Linked DNA regions of Drosophila melanogaster. The protein of the gene in region 4 interacts with the protein of the main gene of each other region in a pairwise test. Each region holds a gene or a part of one and is shown on either strand. Other genes may lie near its edges. The genes, in order: CG33695, sr, bun and cato.

The links.
Region 1: the proteins of cato (region 4) and CG33695 interact in a two-hybrid assay, tested with the Drosophila melanogaster proteins (one large-scale study listed by BioGRID).
Region 2: the proteins of cato (region 4) and sr interact in a two-hybrid assay, tested with the Drosophila melanogaster proteins (one large-scale study listed by BioGRID).
Region 3: the proteins of cato (region 4) and bun interact in a two-hybrid assay, tested with the Drosophila melanogaster proteins (one large-scale study listed by BioGRID).

Annotation. Positions count from the first base shown.
Region 1 is NT_033779.5:11,276,086-11,280,820, forward strand, and holds CG33695 (uncharacterized protein), read left to right. Parts: upstream 1-1,935; 5' UTR 1,936-2,027; coding exon 2,028-2,045; intron 2,046-2,065; exon of another isoform or gene 2,066-2,284; coding exon of another isoform or gene 2,285-2,308; coding exon 2,309-2,400; intron 2,401-2,489; coding exon 2,490-2,588; intron 2,589-2,669; coding exon 2,670-3,378; 3' UTR 3,379-3,762; downstream 3,763-4,735. Other genes in the region: cana (CENP-ana), read left to right, coding at 52-252, 314-463, 520-771, 836-1,111, 1,170-1,250; Ppt2 (Palmitoyl-protein thioesterase 2), read left to right, coding at 4,287-4,430, 4,532-4,673.
Region 2 is NT_033777.3:18,088,407-18,094,075, forward strand, and holds the start of sr (stripe), read left to right. Parts: upstream 1-2,396; 5' UTR 2,397-3,048; intron 3,049-5,669.
Region 3 is NT_033779.5:12,543,268-12,548,738, forward strand, and holds the start of bun (bunched), read right to left. Parts: upstream 3,345-5,471; 5' UTR 3,143-3,344; exon of another isoform or gene 2,376-3,142; intron 1,077-2,375; exon of another isoform or gene 673-1,076; intron 332-672; exon of another isoform or gene 1-331. UniProt on the Drosophila melanogaster protein: Probable transcription factor required for peripheral nervous system morphogenesis, eye development and oogenesis.
Region 4 is NT_033778.4:16,276,765-16,280,502, forward strand, and holds cato (cousin of atonal), read right to left. Parts: upstream 1,633-3,738; 5' UTR 1,595-1,632; coding exon 1,025-1,594; 3' UTR 921-1,024; downstream 1-920. Other genes in the region: CG33017 (uncharacterized protein), read left to right, coding at 1-503; prim (primacord), read left to right, coding at 3,429-3,584.

The DNA.
Region 1 (4,735 bases), on a different chromosome or scaffold from region 4:
TTTATTTAACGCCTTCACTTTTGTATTCTATTATATTTTATTCTATACCAGGAAGCTCAAACTAATGATTTCCTAAAAGAAAGGGAAACTTTGAACTTGACTATATCCGATCTTCGGTTGCATAATGAGCAATTGCTAGAAACCTCGAAAAATTATCTATCAGACATAACAGCAGCAAATAATTTAAATCTCGAAATGAAGAAGAATCTTCACGATCTCACAAAAGAGTGCAAGAGCTTACGTTCCGATCTGGTAATAATTAATCTGGTAATCTATCTGGTTGATTACAATATAGGTAATTAAAATTTTTCAGCAATCCAAAGAAGAATATTTCCAAACGCAAAAGCAACTGTTGGATGAAACAATTTCTAATCTAAAGGAGGAAAACCGCAAGATGGAGGAAAAGTTGAGTTCGGGTAACAAGGCGCTCAAAGAGGATTGCGAAAAGCTCCGTTCAACATTGGTAATATTAGACTTGTCTTTGTAGGTTATTCGGTCGCTAATGAAATATTTATTTAGGAATCAAAGGAACTTATACTGCAACAGAATAAACAAGAGTTAGAGGAAAGGCTGACTGTTATTAATGAGAAGAATGGGAAAAACGCACTACTTGACGCCCAGTTGAAATCCAATGAAACCGCCTTTACATCACTGCGAAAGGCATGGATTAAGCAAAGTTTAGCCATAGAAGCGGCCAATAAAAGAAGCCTCGAGATGGAACAGAAGGTTGATAAACGTACGAGGGAGTACGAAGAACTACGATCAACTCTGGTAGAATAATTGCAATCAAAGGCTCTTATAAAATAGCTTAATGTTTTCTCTTTAAATCGCCTAGAAAACCAGGGAAATCAACTTTCGATCGGAGAAGGAACGCATGGACGGCACCATCTCTAGCCTGTTAGAAGACAAGCGTAATCTTGAGGAGAAGTTGTGCACAGTCACCGAGCTCCTGGCTAAGCTAAAGCGCGAACTGCCGGCTTTACACACGCAAAAAGTGAACGGAGGCGATGTGTCCATTGAGTTGAATTCCTCGAATGGATCGCCGACTCCTGCAGCTGTTCCAGCAACAAAGAAGCCCCTGGACTGCAATTCCGCTGAATGTGTGCCAAAGGTACGTATGATCTTCTAAATTTCAAGCATGTAATATTTTTTTTATTTCTCTCGTAAAGAAATCCAGCAGCCTAGAGACTGCGGAGCGGAAGAATCGACGGATGACGGCCTACGATGAGAACCGTAAGCAGTTTTGCTGAAACGACTTACGTGACGGCGGAACTACGACCGTTCCTTTAGGTAAGTTAAGGTTTGCTTGGCCGCGAAATCGTCTAAACTTTATGTGGTTTTAACTAATATTGCAGGTGGCAATTGCCACTGCGAGCAGCGGAGCTGCAAACAAAGACTGAGTTCGGACTGGAGGCAAAACGTTGAGTTCAACGATGATAAAAAAGATGATTAATGTTATCCAAGTATTAGGGATTTCTTTTGTTAGGTGTTATCTTGCAAACGGTGGAATTCCACATCATAAAGTTTTCTATTTATATTTACGCCCTAAGTATTTGTCAAATACTATCAATACAAAAATTACAAAAACAATCGTGATCGTAGTATTTAAATTTAAATCTGTATTATGCTGGTTTTTGTTTAATAGTTAAATTCGATAAATAGTTAAATATTGTTAATTAAGAAATGTTTCCTTCATCATGTGTAATAATATTTGGTTCATATGTATAGCATTGAATAAACTATTTACATTTTCTTAATGTTAAAATCAGATTCGCATAAGTTGCTGGTTCTAATAATAAAAGACATAAATTACTTAAATGTAAATCTAAATAAGCATAACGCTTCTTGTTTGAATTCCCGATTGCACCAATCGATAAGTCGATAGTAGCGCAAATACATATTCTAGTGTTGTGCATTGGAAAATTGACGGCCGCTTGAGTGTTGTGTACGGCGTCAGTGTTGAATAGCTGCGGACGCAAAACTACGTAAAATTACGACAAAAAAACAGCGCCCCGCGAAAAAAGGCCATGAACTCGGCAATCAAGGTAGGTTCAGCCGCTCCACCACATCCGCCGGCAGCTCCGACCGCGTTGATCCCGTCGCCAGCGCCTCCGCGCGTTGCAAGCGAGAAAAAGGCGGCGCGGGAGAGAGTCGAGAGTCATTCGTTTGTCTCACTCCTGCGAGTGGGAAATTTGTTGTTCCACCGTGAGTGGGCCGGCGGGCGGTGGGCAGGGGCGGTGCGTTTGTTTTGAATTTGCACGCGGTAACAACAAACTGACTCCGGATGCAAATCCGCATGCACTTGCAGGTGGGGGAGATATTCACGGCCGCCGGACAGGCGTTCAGCAGACTGGGCGATCTAACCATGCAGCTGCATCCCAATGCGGAGTCGCCATCGGGGTAAGTTGATTCTATGCGGTGGAGTCGCGAGTTTTGTGGACACTAATCGGAGTGTTTCTGTGTGCCTTGTTCCCTCGCCACGGCTGCAGGAAGTGGACGGACGAGGAGATCGACATGCTGCACTCGTCCATAATGCGCTTCTCCGACGACCTGACCAAGATCAGCCTAAGCATCAAGAACCGCACCGTGTAAGTGATCCTGTGCTCCTGGCGAGGGAACCGGCTGCCCAGTGTGTACGTGCTAGTTTTAATTGACCTTCCCCATTGCAGTTCTCAGATCCGCCAGGCGCTGAAGAAGAAGGCCTTCGAGGACGCCGGCATTCCCGCCAAGCAAGTGCCCGTCCAGCAGGTGCAACACGTTCTCCAGACGCTGCCACAACAGCAGCCGCAGCAGCCCCTTCAGCAGCCACCTCCTCAAGTATTCAAGTCACAGCCAATCGTGCAGCACGTACAGCTGGTGGCGCAGCCAAAGCAGATCATCCTGCATCCACAGTCTAATACAACTACGACGGGCACGACGGTGACTGTTAAGCAGTACCAGCAGATGCAGAAGGCTGCGGCATTAGCGGCAGCCCAGGCTGCAGCCTCGACGGCCAACAACACGCCCACCATCACGGAGAACATCATTATCCAGCAGCCCACTTCGACTACGGCGACAGTGGTGCAGCAGCCACATATGGTGTCCACCTGCTCGTCGACGCAGATCGTGGTGCCCGTTGTGTCGGCAGTGTCCACTGTTCCAACAGTACTCTCGCCCACGGTGGTGATTGCCGACGATGTGGTTAGCACCTCCAATCCTCCAGCGGCAGCGGCGACAGTAGGATCGCCAGCAGGGGCGCCAGCAGGCTTAAAGTGCGGACCAGACGTGTCCATGACCCTCAATCGCATCAATGTCCAGGAGAACGAGGTGGACGTGGAGGAGTGCCTGCCCGCAGAGGTGGTCAAGCTGGATTTTGTCAGCGAGGAGGTGGCCGGGTGAGGTTCGAGCCCTCGGAACGGGCTGGACTTCTTCTACTAGATCTCCGGCCGCAGAACGAATCACGTAACTTGGAACAGAACCGCTACAAATCCAGATCGAGAACTCTTAAGCAAAAAGGTTGAGATGCCGCCCTAGCCCTAAGTCTAAACTGTTAAGTGTTGTCATATTTGATATACCCTGAAATCACCTTGTTCCGGGCCCCGGATGACAAATGAATTGTGCGATGTGGAGGACGAGTCTGTGGATCGCCAGCCACAGAGCGTAGATATTAATTGCGGAGCGTATATGCGCCGCCTAGACTTAAATTTACGCAAGACACAATAGTGCAAAGTACATAACGACGATCGTGTAAGTTGAGAGTGAATAAACGAGCATTATTTTAAGATTCGGCGATCTCTGGGATTTTATTGGAGTTAGGAAAGCCCAAGGAGCGTAGAAATTTAGTTATTTGCAATGGCTTCTACAATCTCATTGCTGTAATTTGTACTTCATACTTTTATTTTGATCAGACTGTATTATAAAAGCATATATATAATTATATTTTTAAAGCACCCAATGCAAACTCAATTGTGTTTCTAATGGTCCGCTAAATTATATTGCATTTTATCTTTATTTGAATGTACCCATCCAATTTATGGGACCTATTTTATAAACCTTTCCTTTTAAATGCACACCACGTATTTTAAATTCATCCAATTATTGTACAATGAAGTCTCGAGAAATTTCGAATGCATTTTCAAATTTCGTTCTGCTCATAATTGCGCTCGCAACCCATACATTGCCATTCGCATGTCGGATTTCAAATCCGCACTTTCAGAATTTCCAAAGCGGGTAGCAAGAAGAAGAGCGGCTAATAAAGATACGGATACATCAACAACAACAGTCGGAAATCCATTGTTCCCCACAAAATGAGACTTCGTTTGCAAGTCCTGGTGGCCCTGTTAACCTGCTCGTCCATTTCCGTCTCACTGGCCTACAAACCGGTGGTCATACTCCATGGAATTCTATCAGGAGCCGAATCGATGGCCTCTCTGGTCCGGGAAATCGAAGAGGTTTGTTTTTCGATTCCCCTTTGTTATTGTTTACAGTGGCAAGGTCGAATTTGACGCAAACAACGCAGTAGCACTGATAAACTCATTTCGTCCGTTTGTAGTTTCATCCTGGCACTATCGTCTACAACTGCGACAAGTTCAATGGATGGTACAGCTTGGAGAACGCCTGGCGACAGGTCGATCAGGTTAGGGATTATCTCAACGAGGTGGGCAAACTGCATCCAGAGGGCATCATTGTGCTGGGTAAGGCAGCCGATTTTCATTAGAGTATTTTCTTTTAGTTACCAATACTATGCCTTTTTCAG
Region 2 (5,669 bases), on a different chromosome or scaffold from region 4:
AAATTGTCTGCCAAGCGACTGAATGAATGAATGAATGAGTATGTGACTGAATGAGTGACTGACAGCCAAATGGCAGAGGAGTTGTCGTTTAATGAGCAACCCCTTCTTAGCCAACCAGTCGACAACAGAAGCCACAAACGATGTCGATGTCGACGTAGCCCTAGGGTATTCATTTAATCCGTCAGTTTGCAGACTTAAGAGTCTCTCATTAATTCATTAAAAGGTGTTAAAAACGGAAGCCATCGTCAGTTGTTGTGAAGGACCTAACATGGTCAATCAAGCGCCAAAATGATTGGAATTGCAAACGTTTTCAATAATATAATTATCAAATTAAGGTGATGGAAAGTTGTTAGCTGGATTTTAATTACTAATATTTCATCATTTTCAAACAGAATGCAGTTCAAAACGTACGAGCACTTCACGTATTATTATTCATAGATTATTCATAGTTGTAGTTTGTCGGAATACAACGTGGTGTATCTTGTATCTTAGATTTTGTATCTTAATATTGGGTTTTTGGGCCATACTATTGTCTCTAGTGCCATTTCTCAAATTTATTTTCCTAACAAAGTATAAGCCTTATAAGGTGGCGAGCTAATTGTGCTGGCCTTTGTTATTACTATTGCATGTGTCACATTCTGAATGAGCAATTACAGTTAATAAGAGTACAAATGTCAAATGTCCGATGTGGGCGATTCGGCTAAGTATAATTAATTTGACTTGGGACTTGGGTTTCGCTCAGTGTAAGACACTTGAACTAATTGACAAGTTTCCATATATAAGCATTTTGTGAATGAATGAATTCGAGTTTTCAGTTGTGAAGGGGGGGGGGGGGGTAAAATATGAATATGATTAGAAGCCAAAGTGCGAGTGTGTGTGTGTGTGTGTCTGTGTAAGGTGAGCTTGGTGGGCGTTTTTAACTCGGCTCTCCGTCTCTTTCTAGCCGCGTTTCGCTGTCTCTTTTCGAGTTTTCATTCACAATCTAATGCCGGGCTTGATCCACACCCACATTATTTAAAGTGGAGCAGTGCACAGAGGGGCTCTGTCCTTGTCTCTTTCTCTTCCAGTAGCTCCATCTCTTTCCGCTTCCTTTCTCCACCTGCACCCTTTCTATCGCTCTGTCTCTTTCTGCGAGCACAGCTGCAGTATTTTGCAATTCAATTTGCAGTCAGCTGAAAGAGCGAGAGGTAAAAGTATGAATTTATCAATGAAACCACCCACGTGACCCCTTTGTATATACACATGTGTGTGTGTGTGTATGTGTGTTTGGCGTTTTTTTTGTGTGTGGGTGTGCGTTTCTGTGGGTGCTGTTGCCTCTAAAGCTTTTTTCTAAGGGGGCCCAAGCTTTTTTCAGCCAATTAGCTTTCGTTGGTGTTATTTTTAGCTGACTAGCTTTCCAGCAAAAGCTTTCAGGATTGATAGACGAATTTGGATTTCGATTCCAGGAAAACCCTTAAAGTTTACTGCATCCGTAAAAATCCTGGCTAAAATATGTATGTACATATGTATGTCTGTTTGCACAAGTGCATTGAATGACGCAGATTCTACAAGTATCCCTATGAAAGGGTTTTGCACACGTGGAGGGGGTTTTGATTCTACTAAGAGGGTTGCGATCAAGAGTGTTGGCTAAATGTGTGGGCTTTTAGACCGAGGAAAGCCCACACAACCACTCGTAGAACTTGGCACGTTCCGGTGCACTGAAAACAATTTAAGATGACTTAAATGAAGATTATTGATAAATAAATAATTCCTATTTACAAAACACTTCTTCTAATGTCAATGAAAATATTACATATATTGGTTTACTAACAGCTGAAGAGGATTTAGAAATACCAATTATTTAGTTTAACTAAGATGAAGGCACGCAGGACATTTTTGACACTCACACTTCTTTTCAGTGTAGGAAAACGGCTTAAGAGTAATCCAAAGGTGTTACAGCCTTATGCTAGGCGATAGAAGCTCAGCGAGAGAGAAAAGCACTTTGAGGCGTTGCGGGGGTTGTGTGTGTGGTTTGTGGTGTTTGTTGTTTGTTGTTCGTTGTTCGTTGCCCCACCGGCAATCCCCCGGTCATGAGTGCGACGAGGACGGCTAGCTTAGCCCGTCCGCATGTACAGTTGTGCCCACACACGGCAGCAAGAACAACAACAACAACACTCAGACGAGGCATCTCAACTGGGCGACAGATCTCTAAGTAAGGCGATGATCAGCCCACGACTGCCACACACTCACACACTGCCATCGCAAACGGATACAGATACAAAGCCACGTACAGGTACAGATACAGTGAAACCGAGGCAAAACAGTCAAGGCAGCGCTGCAAAGCGAAGCAAACCGTATTTTTTAATACCGCCGACAGTCGGACGACGGATTGAATCGCAAAAAAAAAACGCATCGCAACCGGAAGGAAATTATCGTCTAATAAGTTGAGCACAATAAATTCGAGAATAAAAAAAAGAGCAGGGGATCTTATAGCCCCGATTTACGCGCCCTGTGCATGAGATCGTTAAGCGAATTAAGCCGAAAGATAGCCCGTAGCCCAATATCTCGACTAGCCCATCAAATTGCGTGTTTCAAATCAAAATTGCATAATCTGCACCGAAGAAGCCGGGAACTAGTTGCCAACTCTTCGCTAGCCAACGAGATCGCGATTACAGCCGGTGGATATCTTTCGCGTAATCGCAGTAGCTACGTCGCTTCCTTTGACTTGGCCACGTTCTATACAGCTGCGCATCTTATCTTATGCTTGGCCATCTGAAGTTTCAGAGTCGCAGTTGGCAGTAGTTGTTGCAGTTGCAATCGCGGTTGCGGTTTATAGTGAGTCGCGCGTGCGTTCGCCTTTTTGGCCCGCCTCGTAATTAATTACAAACGCAGTCGCGCGATCCGCAATCCGCGCGACTGTTGGACTACAGATGAAAATCCCAACGATCCTGCCTATTTACGCGCCCAAATCTTGATGCCCTAGCCAGACCAGCTTTCTGGGCGCTTGCGTGCTCTGTTGTCGCCGACTTGCCTCCGAATCGACGACATCTGATTGCCTTTTTATAGCTGGTAAGTAGTAGTAGTAGTAGACCCTGCCTATATTGCCCAGCCATCCACCATCGACATCTGAACAAGTATATTAATGGTTACAGCGGGAAAGGGGTGATTGTCGGTTTGGTTATGGCCTCTAATGGCCTTTAATTGGGGCGAAAGCCAAATATAAGGCTTTATTACATATATATGATGGGGAAAATTGAAGCGGGGCCGAATTTATTACGGTCATGTTACATTAGTTTTAATTTATTAATAAATTGTACGAATATTGCCCGAAAACATATATTCGTAAATCCAAATTATTTTATTGGATGATTTCTTAAAATAATTCAATAAAGGTAATTAACATAAAATATTTTGTGATTTTCATAAATTCCTATTTCACAAAACCATAAAGGTTTTTAGCCATTAGCTAAACCAGATTTGTTTTCTATTTAATTATTAAATATAAAAATTCATTCAATATTTGTAGTCTCATTGAAAAACCTTACATTTTTAATGATGAATGAGATGGAAAAGATTACACATCTTCGAAATTTCTGTACAAACCGAATCGAATGAGATCATTTTGCATAAAATTATTTACACATTCCTTAATATTTAGGAGCTGTTTTTGCCAAATACCATTTGCAGATAGACTCCATTTGCATTTCGAAAGAAACCTGGTTTTTTTATGAAGCCGTCGAATGTTCGAGAAGTCAATTGAATTTCGTGGTTTACCTCCATTCAATATGAATGGAAATAATAACTAAAATTAAAACTAATAAAAATATACAAAGATAAGGCTTAATATAATGATTTATGAAACTTTTACAACATATTGGTTGTTTTAAGTATACTTTTGTTGGCCTCTTGTTTATCTTTTTTAATGGAAAACTCAAAGAACAGCCTTGCAACAACTTCTTTTTGGCTCAAACACAAGCTATTTGACTGAATGACGAATTGCTGGTTATGGCCTAAAATATGAAGGACGTTAGTATGCGTAGCCCACGCGATACATATGTATTTGCACTCCTGCAGAGCGACACGTGCGTAAAACAAATCAATTAGCGCTGCCACATGAAAAGGTTAAAAGTCACGTACACGTGTTCCGTGTGCGAATGTGCGAGGGGCACAGCGCGGGGAATGCTGCTCATATGTATAAGGTCAACCGGCAATTGGTAGCCGCAAATTTTCTGCAACAAGTTGAAATTGCCTGGCTAATTAAACACGCAGGTGTAACGAATCCAGCCAAAGCTTCCGGCCAAATAATGCGGTTTAAATGGAGTCAGGAGCAGCTGACATTTGAAGCGACTCCCCCACAAAGGGGCAGAGAAACGGAAGGCAGGACCTTCTCCTGTGAATACCGAAATATCAAAGTTCAACCGGATAACAGGGCGAGCTTCTTTGGGTTCAGCTGCTCTATTCGCTTAGCGGAAAATCAGGAAAATTTATGAATGAACTTCTAGTTGAGCGGACACATCAACGGGAGCTTTTTTCATTGATAAGCTCAATTCAGTTTTTCGCTTTCCATTCCATTCATATATTTATCCGAATGTGACCGGCAACCTTTGGTCTGCCATCGATTGGCGGGCGGTGGGTTGGCCAAAGAGCAACAGGAGCCTCCAGCCGCAGGACATCCCACACACGTGGCAGACGTTTCGGGAAAAGGGCAAGGCACCAGCATCCTGTATCCATTCTCCCGAGACTCTTCTCGAGTGGAAAATGCTAGTAGCTTCTGGCTTCCTTCTGCACAGTGGTTCAAATCAGTCTTCAAATGTGTACAAAAGCTTTGGGTACCTATCAGCTATTAACTATTTCAAATCGTGTAATATAGTGTATATAATATAATAAATAGGGTTTATAGTGTAATTGTTTTAACTTTTCAATTTAGTAAATATTTATGACCACACTGCGTATGATTAATATAAAGCAATTGATTAATTTCTCACATTATAATATTTTGAATAATAGAAAGTATTCACAACTTTGCCTTACACATTAACATTTAGAGATTTTCTTTTTTCCCGAATACATTTATTCTAACAGTATTCATGGGCAGTATTAGCCCACTGTGCCGTATCTGCCATTTAGCTGTGCCCCTGCCCTTAACTTCATCCTCATCTTCTAGTCAATAATATCTGACAGTGTGGGCGTTTAATCGCATCTATTAGCATCCCAGTCGAGCATTTTCTTACACGCCCACGCTGGAAATTATTTCCACTAGGAAAAGTGAAGTAGAAGTGGAGCACATTTGGCGAAATGAAGGCAGGCAATCAACAGGTCCAGCTTGGATAACCTTATTGTTCTCGTTTTCCCAGCCAACGAAAATGTCCCTTCGGTTTTTCCACCTTCCAGGAAGCGCTGTCCCCTCGTTATTATTATTATTAATATTATTATTTTTATTATTGCTCATTTGTTTCAGCGCTAGAGTAATGGAGCAGAACAGCACAGGATGGGACTTCCATTCCACTTGTGTAGCTGCCTTTTGATTGATGCTCGCAACCTCTAACCTTTAAATGTCATCGCAGGGACGAAGCTTTAGCTTCCACTGTGCAACTCTAATTGCCGTTTTGTTGATGGAGCGAACGGGGGCGTTTTAGCATTTAGCGTTTTGCATGTTTTTCGCTTTTTTTTTTTTGTTTGGTCCTTCTAAA
Region 3 (5,471 bases), on a different chromosome or scaffold from region 4:
GAGCGAGAGAGAGTGAGTGTGAGCGAGCGAATGCGCGTTGAGAAAATTGCAATCGGAGAGCGGGAGCTGCAAGAGAGCGAGAGCAGCCTGTTGGCCCCTCCGCAACCGCATCTACATCCACATGCTCCTTCCTACCAACGTGGGCGCCTACAAGTGGGCGGGACGGGGTGGGGGCCGCATACCAAACAAACCGCAAAAGGAGAGCGGCTGCTCGCTCGCACTCTCCCGCTCTCGGACAGCTGCCGGTAATCAATATTGATGATGATAGCAGCAGCCGAAGAAGATGAAAAGCAAAAGGAAAGGTGTCCCGATTGTTCGCAGTGCATCAAAGGTAAGCCAGGATATATTGCCAATACAAAATACGGTAATAAAATGCACTGCTGCTTTCTCAGCTAAACCATCAAAACCTTATCAAGCCCTACTAAACTTTAAGACTATCGGTAAAAACAAAAACGAAAATGGGATATAACAAAAAAGGCCTTTAGGAGCAAAAAATAGAAACAAAAAATAAATGGGTTATCCTCTAAAAAATCCTCTAAAAATTTATACCTTGCTGACAGATATAAAACTGAACTTTAAGGACACCAGGGTGTTAAATAATGCATAATGAAAATTCAACCGAGTTAATAACTTTTCAATCAGTGACTTTCCTTTCCTGTCTTTCACCCACAGGCACTTCCCACCTTTTCTTCGCTCTTTTCCTTTCCGCAAGGAAATGATTCACAATGCAAAAAAAATGGCAAGGGAAAAGGAAAAGAAAAACGAAGGCGTTGTAGGAGGAAGTAAAAGAACCCGAAAGAGCGAGAGAGAGCGATGTATGCAGAGAGAAGGCAATGAAAATGTTTATCAAACGAGAAAAGAGCAGCGACGAAGATGAGGAGGAGGCGGCTGCAAAAGGAACAACAACAAGCTAGAGATTACAATGACAATGCATCCATGAGATACTCAGATACAATTGAAATCGAATATAATTTCTCAATTGAATTGAGTCGCAGAATGTAAATAAAGCAACAAGACATCAAAGAAAATTGGTGCAAATAGGTGTTAAATGTACCGAAAGTGACAATACCCTAGATAAAATAATTAGTTATTTTTTTATGATGGTTTCATTCAAAAAGTTAACCAGTTGTTGAAAGATTGGTACTTTTCCGCTAGCAATCAACCCCGAAATTCCTACATTACAAAAAAAAATGAACTGATTGAATTCTGGTTTGGTCGACGTGACTGTCTGCACACGCATTTCTTTTATGCAGATAGATCCCTGTTCAAGAAACCCCAGCTTATTTCTTGCAACTTCTTGATACCGATACCTATGAAAGTAACTCGCAAAACAATCCAAACCTTTCTGAGTTTGTGCCATCGGTTGTATCAAAGAGTTGGCAGAAATCTGAAGTGTATCCGATTCCTAAACGCAAATATATCGTCCAGTTATAGTTACAAAATGGTGCATGGTAAGCAGAAAAATTTGCCACGCGGCTTGACAAGAAAACCGATCTGGCCTGAGGTTTATTTTGTTTTGCTTTGAAATCGGAGATGCGTTAAAAGGGATGATCATTATGATCGTGAAGATATTGTAGATTGGTTCAAGGGCATTCAAAGCTAATCAGATTTATTCATTTCAAGTTTGTATAAAAAGGGTACTCATACAGAGTGAATTTCATATTTTAGTTCATAAACTAGAAATTAATATTCTCAGAAATGCTGGTTGGTTTTTGCAAATCTACTATTATTGCACACCGCTGTTATTAAATACGTATCCATAATTCTAAACACTTGTGTGTAATTCGAGTTACCGTTAACCAAACAGAACACACAATTTTTTATATGAATTTCTACTAAAAATCACATATGAAAAAAAAATTACCCCATAATATCGGATGGCAAATAAGCAGAAAATTGCAAAATGGCACAAAAACAAAACTAACACTTGACTAAACAATCAAGGCGAAGCAGAACAGAAAATAAACAACAATGCCGGGCCAGCTGACATTATAAACAAAGGTAAATGGCACATAAAATACAGTAGAAAACGAAGGAATATTGGAGTTAATCAAATGCTTGGCCAGCTGTTTTGGAGAAATGGGAATGGAAAGAGGAAATGGGAAAAATCTAAGGTACAAAGTGCAAGCTGCAACAACAACTGAGCGAAAGTGAAGAAGCAGACCAAAAGGATGGGCACACACGCTGACACACACACACACACACACACCAACAATTACGCGACTGTTTTGCACTTTTGTTTCATTGAATTTCTCTGATTTTTCCTTCGTTTTGAAACATGTTTCGATTTGCTTTGCTTTTTTATTGGTTACTTTCTGATCGATTTGTTGCACTAAGAGGCAAAGGCCTCTCTTTTACATTTTTACCACACTTACGCGTATGTCAAACAATTTAAAATTACTTGTTTCTTGGCGTAAAACAATAAACTTAAAACAAGCGAACGGCCACGAATTTAATTTGGATGGGATATTAGTTTTTCGTTGCGTTTTGCTAATCGGACAAAAGGAAGGTAAATGACAGTTTTGACACTTGGCTGTGCACAAGCAAAAAGCGGAGAGCACTGCGAGAGAGTCGATTCGGAGAGCGAAAAAATGAGTGAGAGAGAGATGGAGAGAGAGAGAGAGGAATTAAATAAACGAAAAAGCGTGCATGAAAAATTGGCGAAAAAAGTTTTGTGCAAAAAAAAAAAGCGAAACGCCGAACTGCGGAAAGCAAACAATCGAATTCAACATTTTTTGTGCAAATTTTAACGCCAGGGAATTTTTTTCTTTTTAGTTTTCCTGGCAAAGGCGGCTCACACCCACACATACACAAACTCTCTCTCTATGTCTCTCTTTCGCTGCCACTCTCTTCAAATCTGCAGAGAGTCGGCAATCCACAATTTTTCGTTCTTTCGATTTTGCACATCTCTCCGCTTGTCACTTTACTTTTCGCAGCTCTTTGGCTTTTTGCAAATAAATTAATTTTTCAGCGCACATATAAATTTTCCATCAGTGCCATTTGTGCTCCGTTTTCTTATTCAATTTACACGCACACACAGCCGCAGCAGCAGCGCACACACATCTCTACATCTGCATGCCAGCTCGCTCACACACACAGCGACGCACACGTCACACTCATACACTCACACGCACGCACATACACAGTTTTTTCTTCGATTTTGCGCTAGCTCTCGCAGCCTTTTTTCGCTTTTCCTCGTCGTTTTCAAGGGCGCCGCGAGTTAAGCGATTTTGCAATACGTTCGCGGCGCGTTCGATTTGCGTTCTTTTACTTTTTATCCGTCTGCAGACAGCGAAAAAGACCAACAACTTGCCTTGCGTTTTTGTCCCAACTCAAAATGCCAATAAAAATATAATATCAAATAATAATACCAAATACTGAATACGGGATTTTTGGCACATATAGCGGTCACACTATACTGTTCAAAACTGATATTTTAGCATTTTTTGGTTTGGTTCTGTGCTAAATACAACTATCGATTGTTAAGTTCTACACGCAGGCGATTGTCGTGCGATATACGATATCGTTTACATATCGTTTAGAAATCCCTAGCGCAACATTGGCGCTCGTTTTTCCATTATTCGAAAATGAATTTAACATAAAATTAACATATACTTTAGAACTAAGTTATACTAAGGCGAGTGGCACAACTCTACTTTTATTTGATTGTTTTAGGAATCATTTTTGTATATAATGGGCTTATATAATGTCGATAATAAGTTCTGGTCAAAAATCGGACTATTATAAATTTTAATTATATTTATATTTAATATCATATCATCTATAATTATCATATAATATAGTTAAATTTTTTATTAGCAAAATAACTGCAGTAGTTACTCTTTTTGTGTCGAAATCACTGAAAAAATCGTTAAACAGATCCCGCGTCGAAGTACCGAACCAACAATTTTACATTTACATATATTTTACATTGGTTCGCTTCTTTGCTTTGATTTAGAAGCGAATTTCAACGAATCTAAGCGAATTCAAACGACTAAAATTCGATTGGTAAATCTTTATAAAAATATATGTAACAAATAATTTGAATCATTAAGAAAATTAATACCTTAACAATGCTTAAATTTGTATACTTTACTTGTTTTTATAAACAAAATAGATACATAGAACTGGCGCTCAGTTTTCTATTTTTTCTATTAAATTTTTCTATTGATGTTTATTAAAGCTTAAAAATAAACATAAATTATTGCCAGTAATTATGTAACTGCTTTTGAGCATTTCCTGTTCTAGCGCTAAGACTTCTCAAGAAAGTTTTGTGGAGTAACAGGTATCTGATAGTCGCACTGCTGCTTGTTACCTTCTTGCATTTATTTAACTCTTTGGTTCTTCTTTTAATTAAGTACCTTGCTGATACTCTGCTTGCTAACTTTAATCAGTTAAGACTTTAAATATATTCAACTCTTACCAACTTTCTTAAGCTGGCTAACGGGTATCTAATAGTCACACCATTCGACTAAGACATTCCTTTTTTCTTTTTTTTTTCGTCCTGATGGAGTTCAGTGAAGCGTTCTGATTTTCTTGTCAAAGCGGAAAGAAATCACGCTAATGATCGACGCACCCTCCACCAATTGAAACTCCACTAAGGAGTTCTATATATGTACATATGCATGTATATACAATTATATATATATTTATATAGTATATCGCAACTGACCACTTCGTTCGCAACGGAACGTGTTCGGGATTAGAATTAATTCCACTGACCAGCCCCGCCCCGCCCCGCCCACTTTCACACAGCGACTGCAGGCGACACCCTCGCATTTGGCCAACGTCTCATTTAAATTGCAGCAGGCAGGAAAAACATTTGGCAAACATTTTTCGCCCCCCAAAAACTGCCCCTTTTTTCGCTTGTGGCATTCAAAGGTTTGACGATTTGCCGTACATGTTTGGTGCGTAATTAGTGCAGACCGATGCGTTGCACCCTTGTGAAATGCCAAAAGTCCTGCGATCCACTCAATCGTGCTCACTGGCATTTTTTCCTTTTCTTTAACAATTTCCATTTGATTGCATTCGTGGGGAAGAAAATGCTGGCTCCGGCATTCATTGGGGTGACCAACGTTGGCGGGCTTAACTGTCATTTCCATGAGATGCCCATTTGGTCAAGCACACACTGAGCGAAAAAGGTTAAAAAATTACATATGTATATTTTTTTGAAATTGTTTTAATTTTTCTGTATTGAAAAATAGATAATATATAATAACTCATGTTATTTCAGATTATGATAAAACGAAAATAAGTTCTAGATTCTTTTTTGTGACTGTGAATTTTTCAATTACACAGTTTACATAGTTACATAGTATATTGCTTTGCCTGTGAAGTTTTCATTTCTACGATTTGTGATTCGGAGTATAAATATTTTTTTCTTCTGTGTAGGTGGAAATACACAACTCCGTTGGCAGCATACACATCCCCAACGCATATGCAAAACTTTTGCGTTTCATTTGAATTTCCCT
Region 4 (3,738 bases):
AGCCACCTCTGCAATCCCAGGCGAGTGGTGGCCTTTCCATACTGGGCTCCTTTAGGATTCCACCAGTGCTGGCCAGCACAGCGCTGGGCATCATCAAAGAGCATCTCCACAGGAACACCGTGCTTCAAAAGCCAGATGCCAGAGAAAGAGAAGCATTATATCCACCCAGAAGGATGCGGCGCATTCTTATGACCAGACCGATTTCAAGGCCAAGGAGACCAGTACTTCGTCCATCCCACAAAGCTAATGCTCCCATTCTGAAGGAGAACAGAACCCTGCTGCTCACCAGCAATCCCTTTCGAAACTTGAGCTTCAGCGATCACAATCGAGAAGTTATTGTCCTGCATCCGCCGGATCCTGGCTTTCGGCCATCGAAAAACTCCTTCAGCAAGGGCGAAGTGGAGGTGCAGCACATCACAGTGCCCAACGAAGATACCGTTGTGAAGCCCGTGCCACCCACGCCACCTACGAAACCCAAAAGGACATCGGTGATCAATCCATAGCTGTTATGTCCTCACACAAACTCGCCCTCTCGTCATAAAAAAAAAAAAACAGCACCCAACCGAAGCCGAAGGACTCAGCTGCCTTTTTTATTCAATGAGAGGAGTTTTGGCCAGGAGTTCAGGGGTGTCACGCTACACCGCCCACTGTGGTGGCTTCGCAGTTTCGGAATCGTTCGGGGTTAGACCAAAACTTGAAGTACGCCTATCAATGAACTGTTGAGTAATTAATTTATGATCGTTTTTGAAATCATTGAGGCGTAGCCAAACGATCTGATGGCCAATTGAATCTGGGGATCTGTGAATAGTAGTGGGCTGGTTATAATTGGTAGAAAGGGTTAGATGAGTAGCTCATTTTGGATTGAACACTTGGTTCACAATCAAGCGATGCGTTCCATGAATAATGCCTTTGAAATTGAAATTATTTTTAGCATTCAATTAAACATTTCAATTTATTTCATTACATATTTAACTTAATCTACAGTAAGAAGAAAATCACATAACTTTAGTCTAGTATCATCCATCTATGACAAGGATCCTCCGCTCAATCCAAATCCACTATCGCTGTCGCCGAAGATGGTGTATGCAGCGGCATCCACTTCCACGTCCCCGTTGTTGAGAAGATCGCACAGCGCCAGGATGTAGGACTGGGCCATCTGGAGAGTCTCGAACTTGGACAATTTCTGGTCAATGGACGGAGCGGGCACCACTTCCCTTAGGCGCTCGAAAGCCGCATTCAATCCATTCATCCGCTTCCTTTCCCGCGCATTGGCAGCCTGTCGTCTCCTTTTCTGGACCGTGGGACTGAGATTGGTCTGCTCTGGACTGCTCTTCCTACCGTCCGATCCTGTGAAGCTGTTACTCCGCCGTTTGGTCTGCGGCTGGGTGTGCTGTCCTTGCGCCTCCATGATGGGTCCTAGTTCCGTTTGAGTTCCGCCTGCGGCATCCAAGAATTGCCATTCCGGCGATAAGAAAGCCCCCTGTCCGTAATCCTGGCCAGAAACTGGCGGCAACTGGGTCAAGTTGTAGTTGGGACTGCCCAGGTACTGGGAACTGCCATCCTCCTCGGAGGCAGACGAGTAGTAGTAGCTCATTGCAGATCCGAGCGGCTTGAAAGTTTCGTTGCAACTGAAACGATCCGATCGGATCCAGACTTGACTACGGTCAACCCCCGCGAGATGCATTCTACAAATATTTTCACCGCCGTTCTGACCAAGTTTGTGTAAATGGCCCGCAAATGACCCCTGGCCCCAGGATCCTCGCAGCTATTACCATGGCCCGGCCAAAGGATCTCCCCGAGGAGCTGGGGTGACTTAGGGGTTAGATATGTTTCCCTCCCTTTCGCTCGGTGGTGAAACGCCTACACTTCGCCTGTTGCCATCTCTTTCGCGCCAGGCACGCGTCATATCTTGCCAAATTGGTACTATCATGCCATGGGATCTTCCCCTCTCTCTCTCTCCCTCTCCCTCTGTCGCCCATAATTTGTGACTTTCACGCTCAACGGCACACGAGCGTGTGGAGGGGTGGGGGGCTCGGAGCTCGCGAGGATGAGCTACTGTACTGGTTGGCATGGGCCATCAATTAACCCGCTGGCGAACTGCATTGTGGCTCGCGTCTAGTGACCATATGCTGTACTCTGCTGTGCCGTGCTGAGCTGCACCGACCCGACTTTGACTTCGGTTAGGAACCAACATATGGTCGATGCCCATGGCACTCAGTGGTTGCCTTTGGTCCTGGAAATTTGAAGTCCTTGGCAGGCACACGACATTTGCCGTCTAGCCAGTTGTCGAATCAAACTATTAACTCGAATTGAACAGATCTTTCCTTTACTATTAAGTGGCTATGAAAAATAGTCTATTGATGCGTTTGATAATTGCCTTATGTTTCACAAAAATATCTTACTATTACTATAACCATACCATATATATTATGTTTTGTTTCACTACCAAATATGTCTTCTTTTCATAAAGCGAATCGCCAATTATTCAGTGTAAAACATGCTTCGTAAATATGTTGAATAAAATTAATTTTGAAAGGAAGCATTTCATTTATTTCATTAACTAAAAAATAAGTTTTCCCAAAATTCATCAAATGTGTGCCAAATCTGACAAATACTTCTCCACTTTATGTGATTATTGTAAAGTCATTTATATTTTTTGCTGGCCGAATATCTTAAATATGATATTCCTTTGCTCTCAATATTCTTTACTTTTAATCCTTATCTCTGGCTCCTGTTGCTCTGGATTGAAGACCAGTTTGCGCATGTACCAACACTGCACATTGAGCGAAACTATCTTTTTTTTGGCATAAACACTTATTTTAAAGAAAAGCGTGCTTTCATGTTTTGAGTATACAATGATTATATTAGACACTACGTCTAACTAACTATTAGTATAAGTATTCGTTAAATCCTAAAAGATGTACAAAAATTTTTGGTTTACTTTTGGATAACCTTTTTACTCAACACTCATTCAGAACCGTTATAAGTTTATGGTTTAAACTGAAAATTTATATTTTAGGTGTTTTTTAATGTTTGAATATATTTTAAACATTTTTAATACTATATAATAGATAATTGTCTCCGTGTTATCATTACACTCCTCGCATGGAAATCTCTCTCTCTCTCGACGGCTTGTGCTCGGCTCCCATTCGGTTTTGTGGGGAAACACGAGACGAGGACGACAAGGAGCTTCGTGTCCTGATACAGCAACAGGATTAAATATATATGACGAGCCGAGCAGCGCAGTGTTATCATTTGAAGAAAAGAGTTGGTCGCCTGTGAACACGGTGAACTTAAGCATTAGAGGTTTAAGCTTATCAGGATATAGGAGTGCACCCAGCTTACACATCGATAGATAGCTCAGCTGAGCGCGAAAGTAACTGGAATAAGTAAGGGAATCACTGGTCTAGCGAAGCACCCAGCCACGGATGTGTCTGTACTTGGGAGTGGTGGAGCACCTGGTGGATGTGGTGGCCTACTGCATGTGCCGTGTCCTGGAGCTGTCCCTGTTCGCCTGCATGATGGTCTGCGGCTCCATGAGAGCCAAGCTGACCCACGGACCCACCAACGAGCTGGAGCAATGACCAGGACACCAGGAGTGCTGCTAAAAGGATGCGCGCGTTTGTGTGTTTGAGTGTGTTTCGACTAAAATTTAATAAAGGCAACTTTTCTAGTGGCGAATAAATTACAACTCATATGTGCTTGTAAACGATTGTCTTTTCCTCCCGTTGGCTGGCC